Arabidopsis thaliana: one gene and its partners. The protein of the gene in region 3 interacts with the protein of the main gene of each other region in a pairwise test. Each region holds a gene or a part of one and is shown on either strand. Other genes may lie near its edges.

Evidence for each region.
Region 1: the proteins of CDKC;1 (region 3) and AT5G45190 interact in a protein complementation assay, tested with the Arabidopsis thaliana proteins (one study listed by BioGRID).
Region 2: the proteins of CDKC;1 (region 3) and CYCT1;4 interact in a protein complementation assay, tested with the Arabidopsis thaliana proteins (one study listed by BioGRID).

What each region holds. Positions count from the first base shown.
Region 1 is NC_003076.8:18,276,877-18,283,639, forward strand, and holds AT5G45190 (Cyclin family protein), read right to left. Parts: upstream 4,999-6,763; 5' UTR 4,842-4,998; intron 3,890-4,841; 5' UTR 3,858-3,889; coding exon 3,633-3,857; coding exon of another isoform or gene 3,631-3,632; intron 3,568-3,630; coding exon 3,544-3,567; intron 3,442-3,543; coding exon 3,424-3,441; intron 3,203-3,423; coding exon of another isoform or gene 3,196-3,202; coding exon 3,121-3,195; intron 2,781-3,120; coding exon 2,646-2,780; intron 2,420-2,645; coding exon 2,244-2,419; intron 2,155-2,243; coding exon 2,003-2,154; intron 1,900-2,002; coding exon 932-1,899; 3' UTR 744-931; downstream 1-743.
Region 2 is NC_003075.7:10,670,717-10,677,447, reverse strand, and holds CYCT1;4 (Cyclin family protein), read right to left. Parts: upstream 4,684-6,731; 5' UTR 4,582-4,683; intron 4,080-4,581; 5' UTR 3,992-4,079; intron 3,850-3,991; 5' UTR 3,830-3,849; coding exon 3,603-3,829; intron 3,149-3,602; coding exon 3,067-3,148; intron 2,677-3,066; coding exon 2,542-2,676; intron 2,306-2,541; coding exon 2,130-2,305; intron 2,042-2,129; coding exon 1,890-2,041; intron 1,770-1,889; coding exon 916-1,769; 3' UTR 519-915; downstream 1-518. Other genes in the region: AT4G19590 (Chaperone DnaJ-domain superfamily protein), read right to left, coding at 5,158-6,282.
Region 3 is NC_003076.8:3,220,718-3,226,388, forward strand, and holds CDKC;1 (cyclin-dependent kinase C;1), read right to left. Parts: upstream 4,072-5,671; 5' UTR 3,958-4,071; coding exon 3,845-3,957; intron 3,666-3,844; coding exon 3,584-3,665; intron 3,457-3,583; coding exon 3,366-3,456; intron 3,265-3,365; coding exon 3,235-3,264; intron 3,143-3,234; coding exon 3,033-3,142; intron 2,944-3,032; coding exon 2,871-2,943; intron 2,798-2,870; coding exon 2,677-2,797; intron 2,561-2,676; coding exon 2,443-2,560; intron 2,137-2,442; coding exon 1,997-2,136; intron 1,916-1,996; coding exon 1,858-1,915; intron 1,706-1,857; coding exon 1,635-1,705; intron 1,509-1,634; coding exon 998-1,508; 3' UTR 776-997; downstream 1-775. Other genes in the region: RABH1e (RAB GTPase homolog H1E), read left to right, coding at 63-174, 252-342, 441-584.

The DNA of each region.
Region 1 (6,763 bases), about 15 Mb from region 3:
GGATATGTGCGACACGCTATTAACAAAACAAAACTAAATAATTTCTTTACGTAGGTTCAGGCTTCTTTTGCCAAACTCTAGGTTGGTGGAAGTTGATTTTTTTATATTTTATATTTAGTCTAGGAACAGAATGTTCTACTCTATAGATCTCTTCCTTTCTTTTCTAGATAACAGAAGAGTTACATATTTAGTTATTTTCGTTCTTTCTTTCTACATGCTTTCTTTGTATTTATGCTTCCGAATCAGATGGCACTTCTCCGATAGGTCATACAAAATATCACTTTTCGAAGAAAACAAAATCTGACAGACTTAAAAGTACATATAGTTCATTTTGATACCGTACAATACAAAGGTTTCTCTCTTTTACATCATATATAACTTAAGAAAACATTGGTCGTAACAATATTTTGGCATCAAAAGTAAACTCAATTCAACAATGTACAGTAACAAAGAAGTTATCAAGTGGACTTAACCACAACCTATACATTACTTCCTATGACCTGACACTAATTTTACCGTACTAGAGGAAACTTTTTCACAATGCGCATCAATATAAGGAAACGAAGTAAATGTGACTATGAAGTTGCCAAGCAGAATCAAACCTTAGCCCGGTTTAGATTAGATGGAAAAAAGCAGGTAATTATGCATAATTAAAGAACCCTAGCATGGAGTGGTTACAGGAAGAAACACCTAATTAGCTTCTCAACATCCTTTTAGGATGATGAGTCCTAGTTCAAGTCGTTGGATTGTGCAAAAATGCCACGAATAGATATATAATCAACATAAAATACAGAGAGCATGGTTCCAACGACTGAACCGACCCATGTAGAAGTCAAGTTCACATGGTTGGGCATCGAAGTGCCAAAGGTCTTTTAAAAAGACCATTTAGATGGAATACAAAGAGTAGCAGTTTTAATAATCATTACCTCTCTTATGAATGGTTATTCTCTTGTGAGTGTCTTCTGTGCTCTCTATCACCATGATGGCTACTACCTCTGCTCGTCTTATGGCTTTCTTCCCCATTCTCACTATTGTGGCGTCTCTTTCCTTCTGACTGCTTTTCAGGAGGGCTTCCCATTTTTCTCTTTCTGCTATGCATCATCGGGGACACATTGTTGTTTACCATTTCACCTTCCTCTGTATTTTTGACTTCTCCTTTAACATCTAAAATCTCACCATGTTCTGTACCCATGAGATCAGAGTTCTCCGCCTTTGGCCTGCTCTGTACTTTCCTTTCCTTCGTCTTTTCATCCTCAACAGCTAGTTGCACATCTTCCAGTTCTCTTTCAATCAAATCATCCTCATCCATCAAATCCTTTTTCCTCGTTCTTTCACCTAGCAACTTCTTAGCTTTCTCTCGTTTAGCCTTCACCTTATCTCGAAGCAATTTCAAATCTTTTGGCGATTGGCTGATTAGGGCATCACCCACATCAACATTTCGAGATTTATGAACAGCACCATCATCTTGTAGCTCTCCACCCTCTCTTTCTGAGTTGTCTTTCCCAGGTCCCTCAACTAAAGGTCTAGAGTTATGGGGGGCTTCTCTCACATTGTCCTTATGGGCTGGATGGCTTTCAAGATGTAGGCTGCTTTCTTTTGTTTCTCTCTCTATCTCCTCTTTGTTATCGACACTGACATTAGCTGCCTCACCACCCCCATTCTCATTGTTCTGATTCAATACTCCTTTGGATGAACCCCCATGATTATCAGAATTTGATTGTTCATGGGTTGAACGTACTGATGACGTTTGCCTAGAACCAACATGCTCATCGGTTGAAACCGCATTTCTGGAGCCTGGTCGCTGAGCTGACCCTCCACCTACACTACTCTCGACTTCACTTCCTTGAGATGCAGGGACACGATTTTGCTCATAAAGCTCAAGCATTTGGTTGCTAACATCTGAGATATACAAAAGACGATTACTCTTGAAATCATAAAGAAAAAGGGAATGGAAGTCAAACAAGGAAACAAGAATTGTCAAGTCAATTCATATTGTACATACCCTCCAGTTGTCTGGGTGTGACATCAAATTCTTGCCACCAAACCTTCTCTCCATCTGATGGTAACTTCACTTTAAGGAACTTGGCCGCAAGAAATATTGCACCAGCCGCAATATGATGAGGCTTAAATTGCAGGCAGAGAGATGTCCGTAGACTGCAAGCCACTTTTCATTGTATGAAGACGAAAATACAAGGCACATAGAATTATTGGAAGCTTTAGAAGGAAATAGTTCTTGAACGTACCCATCATTAACAAAATTCCATGCAACTTGGGCAAGTGCATTCTGTGCAACCTTAAATTTCTTTATTGCTTCTACCAGGGGTTTATAAGGATGATAAACATTGAGGTCAAAGCCTAGAGTGGAAAGAACAATTTTTTCTCCGTTTAATATAAGCTCTTTTTGTTGCTCATATACTTCCTGAAAAAGTGATATAGGTCAAATACATTTTGATATGCTGACCAACAGACAATAAATCAGGACCAAAGGACCATGGTTCTACAAAACAACGAAGCAAAGTCTGTAGCTAATACTAAAACCTCAATGTCAAATAAAACAAAAGATATGGGGAAAAAATGATACGTTCATCTATAACTAGTAAAACAGAGGTGAGAAATTAGGAAGATTCAGTAGTAAGATGGAATACCTTTTGCTTGATTTTCTGGGAAGCACCAGGATCCTTCTTGTTTATAATCTCATAGGAGACAAAAATAACATCTTTCAAGGGCCGTGGAGTTTCCTCAACCTTTCCAGCAAGGAACATGCATACAGTTGCAATGGTCTGCAGAAACAACATGAAGAGAGAGCTCAGTAAAGATCCGAGTATTTTTTTCCGCTCTAGAAGAAATAACAACAATCACAATTCACTAATTCTGCATAGAATAAGTAAAAAAGAAAAATCTAAATCAAAGTGGTAGCGAAACTATAAATGAAACTACAATAATGAGCTCTCTATAAATACCATGAAAAATGGCAAGGAGATGGATCCACTATATATAAAACCAATACATTTCAATACCTTAAATACTAGCCAGACTACAGCATAGTGGTTCAAACAACACAGAATAGAGTCATTTTTTTTTAAGCATTCAACTTGTTCAGGTGCAAAACAATAAACTCACCCTTCTGTCATTCTTTGCATGTGATTGGCGAAAGAAGAATCGATGACAGAAGATTATCGCTGTAGCTATTGTAACCTGGGGACTGATTGGAAAACTATATCAGCGACTTTCCAAGAGAGCCAAAAATTGAAATCTCTGAACAATGCAGAAACCATGACTACAAAAGCAAAATTAAGACAGTGTGGCAGTTATGTCTTCACCACTAATAACTGTCTCTTCCTTGTATTCATGCCAAAGAAAGAAAAATTGAGATAAAATAAACACAACTTCTACAACTTTCCGTTTAAAGGTGCTAGAACTAACATCAGTACAAACGTATGCCTAAAACCATCAGCAGCACATCAAATTCCAATTAAACGAAACCTATATGTAAAGGGGTAACTATTATCTGTCCACAATGATGATGGGACGGATTGGACGAACTATAATGTCAAGAAACCAAGCCAACTTGAAGCAGTTAAAGGAACAATGCACAGAAAGAAATCTAAGATGAGGTGATAGAGAACTTACACTTTCAATCTCATGCCCAAGTCCTGCAAAAATGTACAGTAGGATTTGCGGAGGTATGTTTCCTTCTTTAAGTCAATACCATCCAACCTTGACGGTGAATTCTCTTCTATTTCTTTTCTTCCAAAATACCAGCGGGAAACCTCTTCTTGCTTTTCATGGGAATTCCTTGAGTGTGATGAAACTCCACTCTCACTGTAAGAACATTCCCCAGCTAGTACTCCAGCCATTAGTATCTTCTAAAACCAAAAATTATCCCCACCTAACAAAAGCAGAGAACCAAAATGTGCATCACTTTACAAATAATAATAAGCCTGAAACTCAACACTAGAAAGGACAATTAAAGAGAACATAAGAAAAACCAGATCGATTCCCCAACAAACGAAGCTATGATCTTTGTAATTGCATTAAAACCGTATCTTTGAATAACAGATAATCTTATAAGCATTTAGAAAACTCTAAGAACAGGAATCAACTGAGGTTTCTAACAGTACACAGAAGGGCACAAAGGGGGAGATACTGATTCATGATTAGTGTCGTAAAGCAGAGTAGCAAAATGACAGCAAAGAACCAAAATTTGCTTCACTTTATAACAATCTGTGCAACCTAGCAAAAGCAGCGGACCAAAATGGGGCATCTCTTTACAATGGTAATAAGTCTGATACTCGACACTAGATAGGATAAGAGATCATCAGAAAAAGTAGATAGCTATGTTTTTTATACCCGCATTCGAACTTTGGCTTTGAATAAGAAATTAGCTACACGGAAGGGCACAACGGGGAAGAGACTAGTGACATGGCTTCAAGGAAACATAACCACATAGTCTAAAACGAGAGTCAAAGGGGATAAATCTTCTACAAGCTATGAACATGAATCATGCAAAGGATGAACCTTTACGAATTGCAAATCATGGAATCGAACTTGTGGTAACAACTTGATTAGGCTAAAAATTCATCACCAATTAGATACATTCGATCAAAATCCCAAAATTTTCTCAAAACACGAAACGATACCTAGAAAATTAGTAATTGAGCAGGAAAAAAACAGATCCAAAGGGTTTCTATAGAAATTAACCGGAAGATGGAAAAATTCGTTGAGAGATTCACTTGACGGTGGACAAAAAAGAATACCCAAATCGAGAGGATAAAGGAAATCAACGAGAATTTAAGACAGTAATTGAACGAGGGAGGGAAACAAAAAGATGGATACTTTACCTTAACTTCAATGGAATTAGCTTCTCTAGTTGCGAATTGCAGAAGAAGATGAAGAATAACGCGTGAAAATCAACAAACCCTAACCCTAGAGAGTCGCGAGAAAACGAAAGAGGGAAGAAGAAGAAAAAGGGGATAGGAAGTATTCTAAAGAGTTGTGATATTAAAAGCTGAGACCAGATTCACTTCTTTCCCTTTTTTCACATTAAAAGAATATAAATAAATTCATAAGCTAATCACTAATCGTCTTTATTGATATCTTTAACATTTGTTTTTTGAAATGTGATAAGAACAAAAAGAAAATCGACGGAAAAAAAAAGAAAAAGAAAAAGAAAATAGGAAACAGTTATTAGGAATTAGAAATCAAGAGATAAAATAAATATTAAAAGCTTATTATATTTTATATAGGCCTAGGTTATAAAAATGCGACTTTATAATTTTTATTATTTAAAGTAAATTTTTTAAAGTTGTTAACTCAAAATGACCGCGATATACGTAAATCACAATATATACATATATCACAAATTAAATTTTAATTATCTACTAAAGCTTTTGAAAAAATATAAAAATTTCTTCAAATATGTTTTTTTTGTGTATTTTGTCAAAAGTTTTGTTTTTTTCTTTTGTTTTGTTAAAATAACTCCAAAATTTGGATGTCAACTAAACATATAAAATGGTGAGATGTATAGATAAAGATTATAATAAAATATTCAATAGTATCGAAGATGAATGAGAATTAAGTATATATATGTTTGTGTAAAACATTTATGACAAGTTAGCAATATTTATAGTTTAAATCACATAGTATACTGTAGTAGTTATTTAGTAAACAACAAAAAAAATTACGTTATTTAAAAATATTTAGAGAGAATATTGAGATTAGAGTTATAACATGGGGCAGATGTAGGTAGAGGAGAGGTGAGGCACGTGCCCCACACTCATTTTTCAATTTTTCATTTTTCAAACTAATAAATATGTATATTTTAGTAGTTTAAAAAAAAGAATTAGATTATATCAATGTAAATATAATTTCTTAAAATTTATGAAATTCATTGAAGTTGTGTCTAGGCTTATGCTTTAAAAAAAAGAATTAGATTATATCAATGTAAATATAATTTCTTAAAATTTATGAAATTCATTGAAGTTGTGTCTAGGCTTATGCTTTAGAAACTTTGATCAGATTTGATTTTTTTTGGATTTGGATATTTCTGGTAGAAGAAGAGACTATTATCCATTGGGGTTTTATGATTATTCGGTTCGGGTAGGTGTAAGATTTGGAATGGTCGGAAAAAACCTACAAGTTGTTCAATTTTAATAAAAATGGTTTCAATTAATTAAATTTGGTTACATTTTGCAAACAATTATACATTTTTGACAAAATATAACTAATCCGACTCGAACCCGAATTTAATATGCCCACAAAAAATCCGATAGGTTTCGGGTTTAGTGGGTAAACTCGAAAAAACCTAGTAAAATCTGAATAATATGTGGATATCTAATATTATATTAAAGTTTTTCTTTTTTTTCTTCTTTAAATTTATAAGTATCTTTATTTTTTCATATTTATCTATACCATTATAAACTAATTTAGATAAACACTCCATAACAAACAATTTAATTTTTTTTTATCTTTATAAATTAAAGGATCCTAAATTAAATTAGAAAGAAAAATAATAAGCTTAGCAAAAAAAACAAGAAACCCTTCCCAACAGGAAAAAGAAAAAAAAAAAAAAAAAACACAGAAACCCTACGATACATTGAGACATGTGATCTTGTAAATTAACTCGCGAGATTCCCAAAGAAAGTGAATATTAGGTTTTGATTTTGAAAACCTACCCACGAAGCAATCGATTGCTAGAAACAAAGTAGGAAACCTAGCCTAAAGTGCTCTGTTTCAGGGAGAGTCTTTCAATCAAATTGGGAGA
Region 2 (6,731 bases), on a different chromosome or scaffold from region 3:
TGTATACTTAGAAAGGGAATCCGAAATTATGGTTAATAAGAGAAGAAAAGGATGAGTTTTTGTTGTATTGAAATGTTTGTAATGACTGTAGAGTGTCGGAACGATAGCCTAACGATTGAATAATCTGCCGCCGACGACAAGAGAGAGCAAGGAGAAGAAGAAGAAGAAGAAGAGAAGACGAGAGGGTTTTTAGGTCTTTTGTTGTTCCTTCTTTAGGTTGGCTTTTTTTGTGTTTTTGTGTTTGATAATGAATAAACCGAACCAAATCCAAAATTTTGAGCAACTTAACCGACTAAATCACACTGGACTAAACCCGAAAATTCAAACCGAGCGAATTAATTCAGACCTGTATTTATTTTTAAACCTGAAAATTTTGAAAACGAATTGAAAAAATGAAAACCCCTACAGCTCTTTTTCATGAGTCTTTTTTGCTCTTTAATTTGACAACTATTCCGCCTGATTTTGTGGTTAACCGGATTGGTCACCAAGCTAACCGATACATACGAAAAGCAGTATAATGACAATGGGAACAAGGTTACGAGTGGACTTAACATAAAACAAACCTTACAAAAACAACTACACATTGACAAATCAATTGACCACTCTGTTTCATATTGTTATTATCAAAACATCCTTCGGCAATGAATGACAAAACACTAATATTGTCTTGGCTCTAAATAAATTCGTCAAAATTCTTTTTTATTCCCCCGATATACAAAAGGGAATGCTAACAAAGATCAAAATTATAGAGACCCTAAATCCTATGGGATGGATGGAAACCTGATTTAGTTTCTCAACTGTTGAATACAAGTGCCAAGGAAAATGAAAAGATAACCAACATTGTAAATACAGTGGACTCATTTCGCATCATGGTTGGGAAATGTCTCTAATAGACCATGAGAAGGTTTTGATCATCTACCTCTCTTGGGAGTGTCTTCTTGGCTCTCTGTCACCATAACTATGACTACTTCCTCCTGGGTTTGTCTTCTGACCTTCTTCCACATTCTCACTGTTGTCGTGTCGTCTCTTTCCTTCTCCTAACTGTTTTTCACAAGGACTTTCCATTTTTCTCTTCCGGCTAGGCATTGTTGAAGAAACATCATCTATCATTTCACCTTCCTCGGTATTGACCACCAAGTTGTTTCCATCAAGAATCTCGCCATGTTCTGTACCCATGGAGCTTTTGTTTTGTATATCTTTGTCATCCTCAACAGCTAATTCCACGTCTTCCAGTTCTCTTTCTATCAAATCATCCTCATCCACCAAATCCTTCTTTCTCGTCTTTTCACCTTGGACCTTCTTCGCCTCTAGTTTGGCCTTCACCTTATCTCTAAACATTTTTATGTCTTTTGGGGATTGGCTGACCGTGACATCAGCTGTACCAACAATTCTAGATTTATCATCTTCTGGAAAATGTGCACCTGCTTTCTCTATTTTATCCTCCCCAGGTGCCTCAACTCCCGATCTAGACTTATGGGCTGGATGACTTTCAGTATGCATGCTATCTTTCGTTTCTGTATCTCTTTCCCCCTTCTGCTCGGTGATGACACTACCTGCCTCACCACTCCCATTATCATTGCTCCGGTTTTGTGTAGCTTTTGTCGAGCCCCCGAGATTATCAGAATTTGAATGTTCATGAGTTAGACGTGCTGATGGCCTAGACCCAACATGATGAGCTGATCCTCCACCTACACTACTTTCGACTTCGCTTACTTGAGATGCAGGAACACGGTTTTGCTCATAGAGCTCAAGCATTTGGTTGCTAACATCTGCAGTATACATAAGGGAGTAGCTCTTAGCATCAGATGCAAAATAAGGCATACAAGTCAAACAGAAAAAGTGGAAACAGTTTCATAAAATTAATTCAAAGATAAAGATAGTTCTCTCACCCTCTAGTTGTCGAGGTGTGACATCAAATTCTTGCCACCAGACCTTCTCTCCATCTGATGGTAATTTCACTTTAAGGAACTTCGCAGCAAGAAAAATTGCTCCCGCCGCAATGTGGTGAGGCTTAAATTGCAGGCAGAGTGACGTCCGCAGACTGCAAGCATCTTTTCATTGTATGAAGAAGAAAATACAAGACAGATAGATCTATCTGAAGCTTTCAAGGAAACAGACTTTTAACGTACCCATCGTTAACAAAATTCCATGCAACTTGGGCCAGAGCATTCTGTGCGACCTTAAATTTCTTTATCGCTTCTACAAGAGGCTTATAAGGATGATAAACATTGAAGTCAAATCCCAGCGTAGAAAGTACAATCTTTTCTCCATTTAGTATAAGCTCTTTTTGTTGCTCATATACTTCCTGCAAAAGTGAAATACGTTCAGTACAAAGAAGAGAAATAATAGAGACGGTGACCAGCACAGATGAGAGATCCAACGACAAGGACAATGATCATAGGAGGATTGTTCACAAACAAGTGCAATCCTGGGTTTAGTAGAAAACTTATGTCATAGTAAAATAGAATATGCGAGAAACAGTGCAAATTCGCTTATTACTAAACAGGAAACCGGATTAGAGAAAGTTTAGAATATTCAGACCTTTTGCTTGATTTTCTGTGCAGTAGTAGGATCCTTCTTGTGTATTATCTCATAGGAGACAACAATAACATCTTTTAACGGCCTAGGAGTTTCTTCCACTTTTCCCGCAAGGAACATGCAGACTGTAGCAATCGTCTGGGTGAGGAGGGAGGACAACATGGAAAAAGGACTCAGTAATAATCTTAATACTGTTCTGCGCTAGTTTCTAGAAGGATAAATATGGACAAAGAACTAGATGCATTAACCAAATAGACTAAGAGAACGCTTAATATTCATGGCAGGAATATTCGCGAGAAGTCAGTGTATATTCATCTAATGCATCAGCCGATTTGCTCTCTCTATATATATACAAAGGAAACTGGCAGAGACATGGAGACAATGAATATAAGCGGACGCAAGGAAAAGGAGCCATTTAATGCTTCAAATACATGCAAACAAAGATAGCAGCAGACTGGCTCGAACAACAAACAGTAGGCCCATGTATATAAGTATTCACAACGCCATGTGCAAAGAATATATACTCACCCTTCTGTCATTCCTAGCATGTGACTGGCGAATGAAGAATCGATGACAGAAGATAATTGCGGTAGCTATTGTAACCTGAGGACTGTATTAGAAAAATATATTAGCCGCGTTCATTGAGAGAGCCAAAAGTGAAAGCTATCAGTGCAAATGAAACCATGTCAATATGAAGATAAATTCAGAGTATTGTGTTCATCACTATATACTAAATTTCAGAAAGCCATTAAAGGACTATTGGGCCATACAACACAAGATGAACCCACAAGTTTCACCTTTTTGTTGCCAATAAGGCAATAACTCTGACTAGCTTATTCATGCTCTAATGACCTCTACGATATCAAGTTCTATAAATTTCAAAATTCGATCCTACAGAACCTAATGTAAGGGGATCAAGAATTCACTATAATACTATAAGCAAAATAGAGGCAATTATCATGGTAGGAGAAACTAGCATGTCCTAGACCAAGCTCGCAAGAAGTAATCAAATGGAAAATGCAATGTATAAAGCTGAAATATATAGGTCAGAAATTTATACTTACACTTTTAATCTCATGCCTAAATCCTGCAAAAATGTACAGTATGACTTGCGGAGGTATGTTTCCTTCTTTAAGTCAATACTATCCAACCTTGAAGGTGAATTTTCTTCAATTTCTTTTCTTCCAAAATACCAGCGGGCAACCTCGTCCTGCTTTTCATTGGAATTCCTGGAGTAAGATGAAACACCACTCTCACCGAATGAACAATCCCCAGCTAATACTCCAGCCATTGCTATCTTTCAAACACAGTCTAGCAAAAACAGAACCAATGAATGTAAGTTCATAAGAGGGATCAGCTTGGTTATTGAACTGATACTGTGAGCTAAAAAGGGTACAAATCTAAGAGATGTAGAAAAAAACTACTTTGCTTATCTATGAGCTGAGATTTATACCTGGTCACGTTGAGTTCCCAGCAAGAGGATAGTAATCTCTAGCGTCAAAACTTTAAAGTTGAGTAACAAATGTAAGCTCTTTAGGAATCTGAAAGCACAGGAATCATCAACAAGGTCAATGACGAAGAATTGAAATTCGGACTGAAAAAATTACTAATTGATGGAAAATCAAAACAATGGCATCAAAACAAACACCACATAGTCTAAATGAGAGTAAAAGGGGCCAAAATATGCAACATAAAGACATGAATCATGAAAACAAAAACATAATTGCTCCTTTCCCACGAAAATACTGTGAATAGAGAATCATGTAAACGAGTTGACCCTCCTTGTTCATAACTAAGCTCACGCATCCAGAAAAAAACAATAAAATCGAAAAATTTGATTGCCAAAGAGTTAAATTAGAGATAATCGAGTAATTCTCCATGGAAATTTAAACTCTTTTCACAGAAAAATCCGTCACAAACGAAGGAAAAAACGTACAATAGATCTGAGAGATGCAAAAGTTCGTGAAACTACCAAACCCGAGAAAACAAACGGAAAATAATACACCTAATCGGAAACATATAACAAAAACGATGATTACGCACCGGATTATGGCTTCTTCGATGGAGAATTGAAACTAAACGCGTGGAACAGCTGCGTTCGTCGAACCCTAACCCTAGGAGAAGAAACGCGAGAAAGGAAAGAACAAAAAAAAAAAAAAAGGGAGGAAGCAAGAAAAGAAAAAAAAAAAAGGGGGATTTTTAACGAATATCCCGATTTTCAAGTGATATATGATGACCCGAAGTAGGAGACTAAATCTTCTCCGTTAAAATATTTGGGGACAAAAGTAAAAACTTTTGAGAATGAAGGGACCGAAGAAGGAAATATTTAGTTAGTGGAAGTAAAATTTCTTCCAACAATTTAAGTGAACCCACTTTGATTAATTTGACTCACGTTGTTAAAGCACACATTGTTAACAAAAATAAAATAAAGCTTTGACATTTCAGATTCAACATTGAAGATGACAGGAAGAAGAACTAACCTGGTTCCACTGTACAAGATCCTAGTCTAGATGCAAAATATTCAAATATCATAATCATAAAATCATTGATTGTTAAACTTCTAAATGTCATAGTTCCTACTTCACTGTTAAACTTCTAATTATCTGTCCTCAGCTTACTTCACACCTTGATTTCACTACTTGACTCTGCATAGTTATCTGTCCTCAGCTTCTTAAAAACTCTCTCTTCTACTTTCAAATCAGAGTTTGCAATTCCTCTACCAGCTTCTTCTTCTGACTCCCTTACCTCTCTTTTCCCTCTTTCTTCTGCTTGATTTGCCACATTTCCACTGTTAAAGTAACTCATTCTTGATAAAGAAGAATCCCGTCGAAAACTAGAATCAAAATTAACATTTAGTGAAGAATCTCTATCACAAGAAGACGAAGCACCATTTGTGTTCTTGTTTGTTGCTTGTGGTGTTTCCTCTTTCTCAGTTGGTGTTTTTTCCTTCTCAGTTGGTGTTTTCTCTATCTCAGTTGCCTTAAAATTCCCACGGCAATTTCGGCAAAGTACGGTCTTGTTAAGATAATAAACCCTCACATACTCATATTGTGTCTCGCATTTGTTGCACATTGTCCAAAAGATAGAAACTTTGGAAGTGGGCTTTTTGCTTCTAGCTCTACCATTAGTACTTGCTTGATTTGGTGGTTGTTTAGGCTGGTTTGGTGGTTGTTTCGGCTCGTTTTGTGGTTGCTTCTGCTGGTTTGGTGGCTGTCTAGGCTGATTTGGTGGCTGCTTCTGCTGATCTGGTGGTTGTTTCTGCTGATTTGGTTGTTGTTTCGGCTGATTTGGTGGTTTCTTTGGAGGTTGTTTCTGCTTTCGACTCCTTTTCGGTTTAACTTCGTTCAACTTCCTCTTCTGATCATAAGCAATTCTCTTAACCTTATCAGATAACAAACACCAAGCAGCTAACACAAGCTTAAACGCACCCTCTGCGCCTTCACAATTGTTCTTGTCAGGATGAAGCAAAAGAGCTAGCCTCTTATACTGTTTCTTCACTACTTCCTCATCAGCCAAAGGATCAACACCAAGAATTCCATACCAATCAGATTCTCCTCCACTAATTGTATTTCCTGCTGAGATATACACATCGATCAACATCATCACTTGTCTTAAACCATCAAGTTTCGGATACAAATCCTGAGCCTTGTTAGCAAAAAGCTTAGCCCCGTTGTAATCATTCTCTGCAACTTTCCTCTTAGCAATATCCATTGCTCTTATAGCTTCCTCCTTGTTGCATTCCATATCTTTGTTGAACAAAGAATCCTTCAAACGATTTTGCACCTTGTCTCTATGGAAAACCAATTGGAGGAGCCAAAAGAAAAAGGATTAAGAAGGATGAAAAACAGAAGCAAAACCGTAAATGAAAATCACTAAGTTAGAAAAACAAGTCCTTAGCCACAGATCTCTGAATCTGAAGTTACTCTATCCAAAGCCACTACATAATTACACATAATCAATCACAATTTCACAAACAACAATCGAAGAATGGATAAAAACAATTCATAAAAAGAAGAATCTCGTGTAAACTAGTAAGTAACATCTTAATTATAGGCAAAACCATACATGCAAATCACCAAGTCAAAAGAACAAGCCCTAGATTTCTCAAGTTACTGTATATAAAGCAACAAAGTAATCGTACGAATTACAAAATAGATTTGAAGATTCCGACACTACACAAAACCCATAGAAGG
Region 3 (5,671 bases):
TTCTTTTTGCAAGGATGCTGTGTAAAGTCTCATCTTTTTTGTTTTGTTATTTTAATGTATAGATAGGCAGTCATTCTTGAACACATCCAAGTGGATTGAGGATGTTCGTACAGAGAGAGGTAGCGATGTCATCATTGTTCTGGTTGGTAACAAAACAGATCTCGTCGACAAAAGGTAAGAAACACTTGACGAGAATGAGACATGGAAGCTTTTTCTATTTAGCTATCCAACTTGATATTTCCATTTGACAGGCAAGTGTCGATTGAGGAAGGTGATAACAAAGCTCGTGATTATGGAGTAATATTCATTGAGACCAGTGCAAAAGCAGGATTTAACATCAAGGTGAGAGATGCAACTATGCTCTCATTACTCGTTTAAGATCTTGAGATTTCTTGGAATAACGCTTGGCTTTCTTGTTCTGGTGTTTTGGAAACTTGCAGCCACTTTTTCGCAAGATTGCAGCAGCGTTACCAGGAATGGAAACACTTTCTTCAACGAAACAAGAGGATATGGTTGATGTGAATCTAAAGACTTCGAGCAATTCGGCTCAAGGGGAGCAACAACGAGGTGGTTGTGCTTGTTAATCAGTTTTAAATATATACACAGCAGCAGAATAGGAAGATTTTTAAACGAAAGATTCATAATTTTATGGAACAAATAAATCCTGGTATGAGGAAAGGTGATTACACTTGGAGACTCTAGTTTTTCTTTGGAGAGGTTTTGTTTTCAATATAGAGTTGTGTAATAAAGACGTCTGAAAGCTTATGAAGAAGAATGGCATGTTTTGCTCTGTTCTCATTGCTCATTTCTTTTACATCACACACTGTCAGTCTCCATCTTGACATTACTAGAAAATGTTTGGATAACGAAATAAGACTTGGAAAGAATTGGGAAAAGAAAGAGATTCAGTTTCTCATATTAATCTATTATTAGTTTATTACTAGTATCACATTAAATGTAAGAGTAAGATATCAGATCAACAAATCATTAGAGCTCTTTACTGTTGCCATCCGTATTGCTGGTTTCTCTGATTCTGCCCTCTTCCCGAGCTACCAGAGCCACCATACTGACCACCTTGTGTGTAGTTAGGAGGTCCAACCCCGTACGGGCCACCACTAGGCCCTCTAGGACCAGCCACATAAGGAGCTCCACGTCCTTGTGGAGGATATGATCCACTGCTGTAACCTCCTCGGCTTTGATTATAACCCCCGCTCTGGTTTCCGCTAGGAGGGTAGCGGTTTGGACCAGGTGGACCACGCGGCTTCCCATAGAAGTTGTGGCTGGGTCCAGCAGGTACTTGTGGTGGTGCGTTGTTAGTGGGATGGTTTGGACCTGCAGGCCAATGTGGAGCAGCATGAGACTGTCCACCATGTTGTAATGGGGGTAAGCGAGAGTGCTGCAGCGGTGGATGCTGCAGTTTCTGTCTTTTTGCTGCTTCCTCGTTTTGGCGCTGCTGTTGCCGCTTTTTCTTTGTCTGGAACTCATGTGATGATTCATATGTGGGCAGACTGTTGAAATGAAACCTTAATTTAGTCAGAAAAAATTCCCCACGATCGCCTGTCTAATAAGCTAGATGATGATGCACCAGATGAGTTTCATGAACTTTGTCAGAGAAAATCAGAATATACAAATACCTCTTTGGGTCACATGGCAACGGATCAGTCCAAAAGTACTCGGCATCAAGAGCATCCTTTGCCGATATTCTCTACACAGGGGAAAGAAAAAAAGGAGACATTAAATATCTAAATGGTGTTAACAATGTCCTGACTTGAAGAGGTATGTTTCATCCAAAAAACAGTAAAAGACAGTTTTTAAGAAAGATAATTCGCTGGGAATAAGAATAAAGGTCTCTGATACCTGTGCTGGATCAAGCACCAACATTTTCTCCAGTAATTCAAGAGCATGCCGATCAAAGCTGTACAGAAGAGAAAGTAAAGCCAAATGAAATCTTCTGATCAAAGTAAAGCGGAGATATATAATGGTTTACTTTACTTACTGTCTGAAGAACTCTCTTACACGCCTCTTCAAGGGCCGTGCAGGCTTGAAATTGTTGAACCAAGGCATCTTGGAAACCCCAGGCCAAAGTTTTTCATCAGGTGATCCACAAAGCTCAAATATCTTGTTCAATTGTTCTTGCTGAAACAATGTAGGAGATGGCACATATTTTTTTGAGATTATCAATAACATGTATACATAACTGCGTCTATACCATTTTGTATACATGATATAATGCAAAGAACCTAACCAGCCTCCCACGGTCCCAAAATAAAAGTGCCGATAAATCTAATTCTAGTTAATCCCTTAGGTTTTCTACTCCAATGATATCACAATGCAACCAGGAGACCATGTAGATTCTTATATTATTAGTGGCACGAAAGCACACTGTCTTAACATCTGAAATTTTCAAAAGAACTGCGCTTTCAGCAAAGATGAAACGCTGACCTCATTTTTCCCAGGTAAGATTGGTTTTGCATGCAAAAGTTCGGCAAATATGCAACCAACCGACCACATGTCAATTGCTGGGCCATATTTTGTAGCCCCAAGTAGTAATTCAGGGGGCCTGCCGCAATATATGTAAATCAGCAAAGTAGTAATAACAATGAATTAGCAAAGACCATAATATTAAGACTATCTATGTATATCATGTAAACTTTGAATGACGATTTTTAGGCTTACCTATACCACAATGTGATGACACGATTTGTAAGATTTCCAGTATGATCATGAGAATACGACCGTGCAAGCCCAAAATCAGCCAGCTTTAAATTTCCCTCATTGTCGATAAGGAGATTTGAGCCTGGATCAAAATCTAGGTTAATATGCAAGTAAAGGTGATAACCAAACATCAACATTGTATTAAGGAAAATCACCTTTTATATCACGGTGAAGCACTTGATTCACATGACAATAGTGAAGCCCGGTAAGCAATTGCTTCATGTAACACTTTTAAATGGATTGAGTGTTAGAATAAAGTTGAACAATAAGTATGAAAAAGGCTAATAGAAGTAACGAGCTATTTAGCCGTGCAATACCTTAATTTGAGGAACAGTAAATCTCAGTCCAGGACGATCTGCTAGTCCAGTCAAATCATGATCCATGTACTCAAAAACCATGTAGATGCCACCCTTGTATTTGTTATTATCTATAGGTGAAAAAGCCACAACCTTTAGTTAAGAAGAAATCCTCAATAAGCAGAAACTAAGACAGTAGTTGAAATCACTTTTTTTCACAAACCTGGCTTTCCTTGGTCATCCCTGTCCCGACCTTTTAAGAGACAGAACCATTCAAAACACAAAATGTTTAGACCTCTTTATATAGAAATAGCTAACTTAATTCAGTGCAACATATGTGTTCCTTAAACAAACCTGGTGAAGTCACAATCTCTTTCAGCTGAATGACATTTTCATGATGAAGCTTCTTCAGAATCTTTATCTCTCTAATAGCTGTTATAGGAAACTGCATCATACCAGTTGTAAACAATGGGTTACAATTCCTATCGTAAACAAAAACTTGCATCTGTTCTAAACATAGTGAGCATCATAAAAAAAACGTATAGTCCATATAAAGTGAAGAATTCACATACCCCTTCTCTTTCATTGTCCATACGTATCTTTTTGAGAGCCACAATTTCACCAGTTTTGATTTCTTTAGCCATGTAAACTTGACTGCAACAGCAAAACAACAACAATCAAATCTCCTAAAAGCAACACAACATAGGCATTGTAAAAGCCTAATCATACAATCAAAAATCGCTTCAAAGGCCAATAATTTATCAATCCCAAGTAAAAATTAAGCCTTTTGAATAACCAAAGAGTGAAATTGAATTAAAGAGAAAGTGAATAACCCGTAAGTGCCTTCACCAATTTGTTCGAGCTTCTCAAAGCAATCAACGCTGCGAGATCCCCAGATTGGAGGAGGTTCCTCGAGATTTAGCTGCCCGAATGATGCCATCGCCATCTTCGTTCCCGGGAGTCCCACTGTCGAACAATATCTTTTACTCCGATGATCAAATTACGTCTTTCTCGATCGCTTTCCTTTTCTCTCAGACAACTCTCTCTCCGTAGGTTTCCCAGCTTATTTATGTAATTAGCGTTTCGGTTTAAATCTATGAATTGTCCGGTTTGAACCGGTCTAACCCTGAACAAGCGGTTGGTGTAAATTAGCGATCATCCGTTAAATTTAAATAAAATAATGAAAGAAATATCAAATATCATTTTTATTGACCGGTTTTCAAAAATACCACAACAAAAATAATCTTTTCAAAAGTATTTATTAAAATACAAACTCCATTTTTTAAAAATTGGAATTATGGGATTATGTTTCTTATGTATCTTTCTCATCATAAAAGACTTGACAACAAAATTGTTTAACATGCCAATGCCAAGCACACTCACAAGTCACAAAAAAAAAAAACAAATTGCAATTACAAAAATCATACATTAATTGTTCTATAAAGTAAACATTCATACATTTTGATTAATATTTATTTTTCAAGCTTAGATATATTATAAAGAAAGAGAAAAACTAGTGGACACTCGAACGCCCTAGATTTACTGCTCGAGATAAAATTTGATTTTCGTAAATAAAATTGGAGGCGAATTTGAGAAATCCCAAAAATAGCGGGAAAATTAAGAAAATCACTTAGGTTTTCCAGTGGGTTCACCGTCTGTGACAAGAGGTGCGATAGGAACAGATTACTCCTGAAGTGTTAGCGTGCTTATCACGCCATTTAACCGTGTACACGACCATTCTGGTTCAAAGGAAGAACGAGAACATTCGAATCTCGACCAAACCCTAGATCTCGGTTTCTTTACCTACAGGAAGACACGATTCACTATCTCCCTACTCATTGTCAAACCCTAACATCGGCTATTGGTCCTAACTCCTAACTCACCCGATTCAATTTAGGTTTCATGCTAACATCGGTGAAGGACGGTTATTTCGGAAGTTTGATTTTGGTGTGGGTAGGTCTAATTTTGGGTTTTGTGATTTCTAGGAAAATGTTTCTCTATGGTCATTCACTTGAATCAAACCCTATACATAAATCTTCCCTTCTTTTGTTTCGTATGGATGATATTTCTTTTATCTCTTATGAATCATGCTAGGTTTTTTTTCTTGTAACCGATATTAGAGTTCGACTTGGGCGATGGGAAAGATAGATAAGTATCTTAAGTATGTGCTATATATGTTTCTTGAACTTGATCCGTTGATGTTTTGGTTTTGTTTAAGTTTGTTGGTCCACAATGATATGAAAGATATATAGGCTTTTTCTTCTTAGTTTTATGAACTTACTATATATATAGGGAATCTGACTGATGGAAGTTTCAAAATGAACTAATGATAAAATAATGTTAAGACTATATATAAACAATGTTCTCATCCAATCCACTGTCTGTAGAAGAAATTGACTTGCATATTTGGTTCATATTCCACAATGGGGTTGAGATATGATCCTACTTACTGATTTTTCTGTCTGATGGTGTAGTTTTCAAGCTAACCAAAACATTCCTCTTCCAAGCTACTTTCTTCTGTGGGATGATGACTACGTAGTGGAGTTGTTCTACCATCTCCTACTATTCTGGTGATTTCAGTGATATTTTATTCTTGTGTTTCTTAATTCAAGGGAGTGGTCAGCCATTTGTGACTTCTATGTCCAACACGTATAACTATC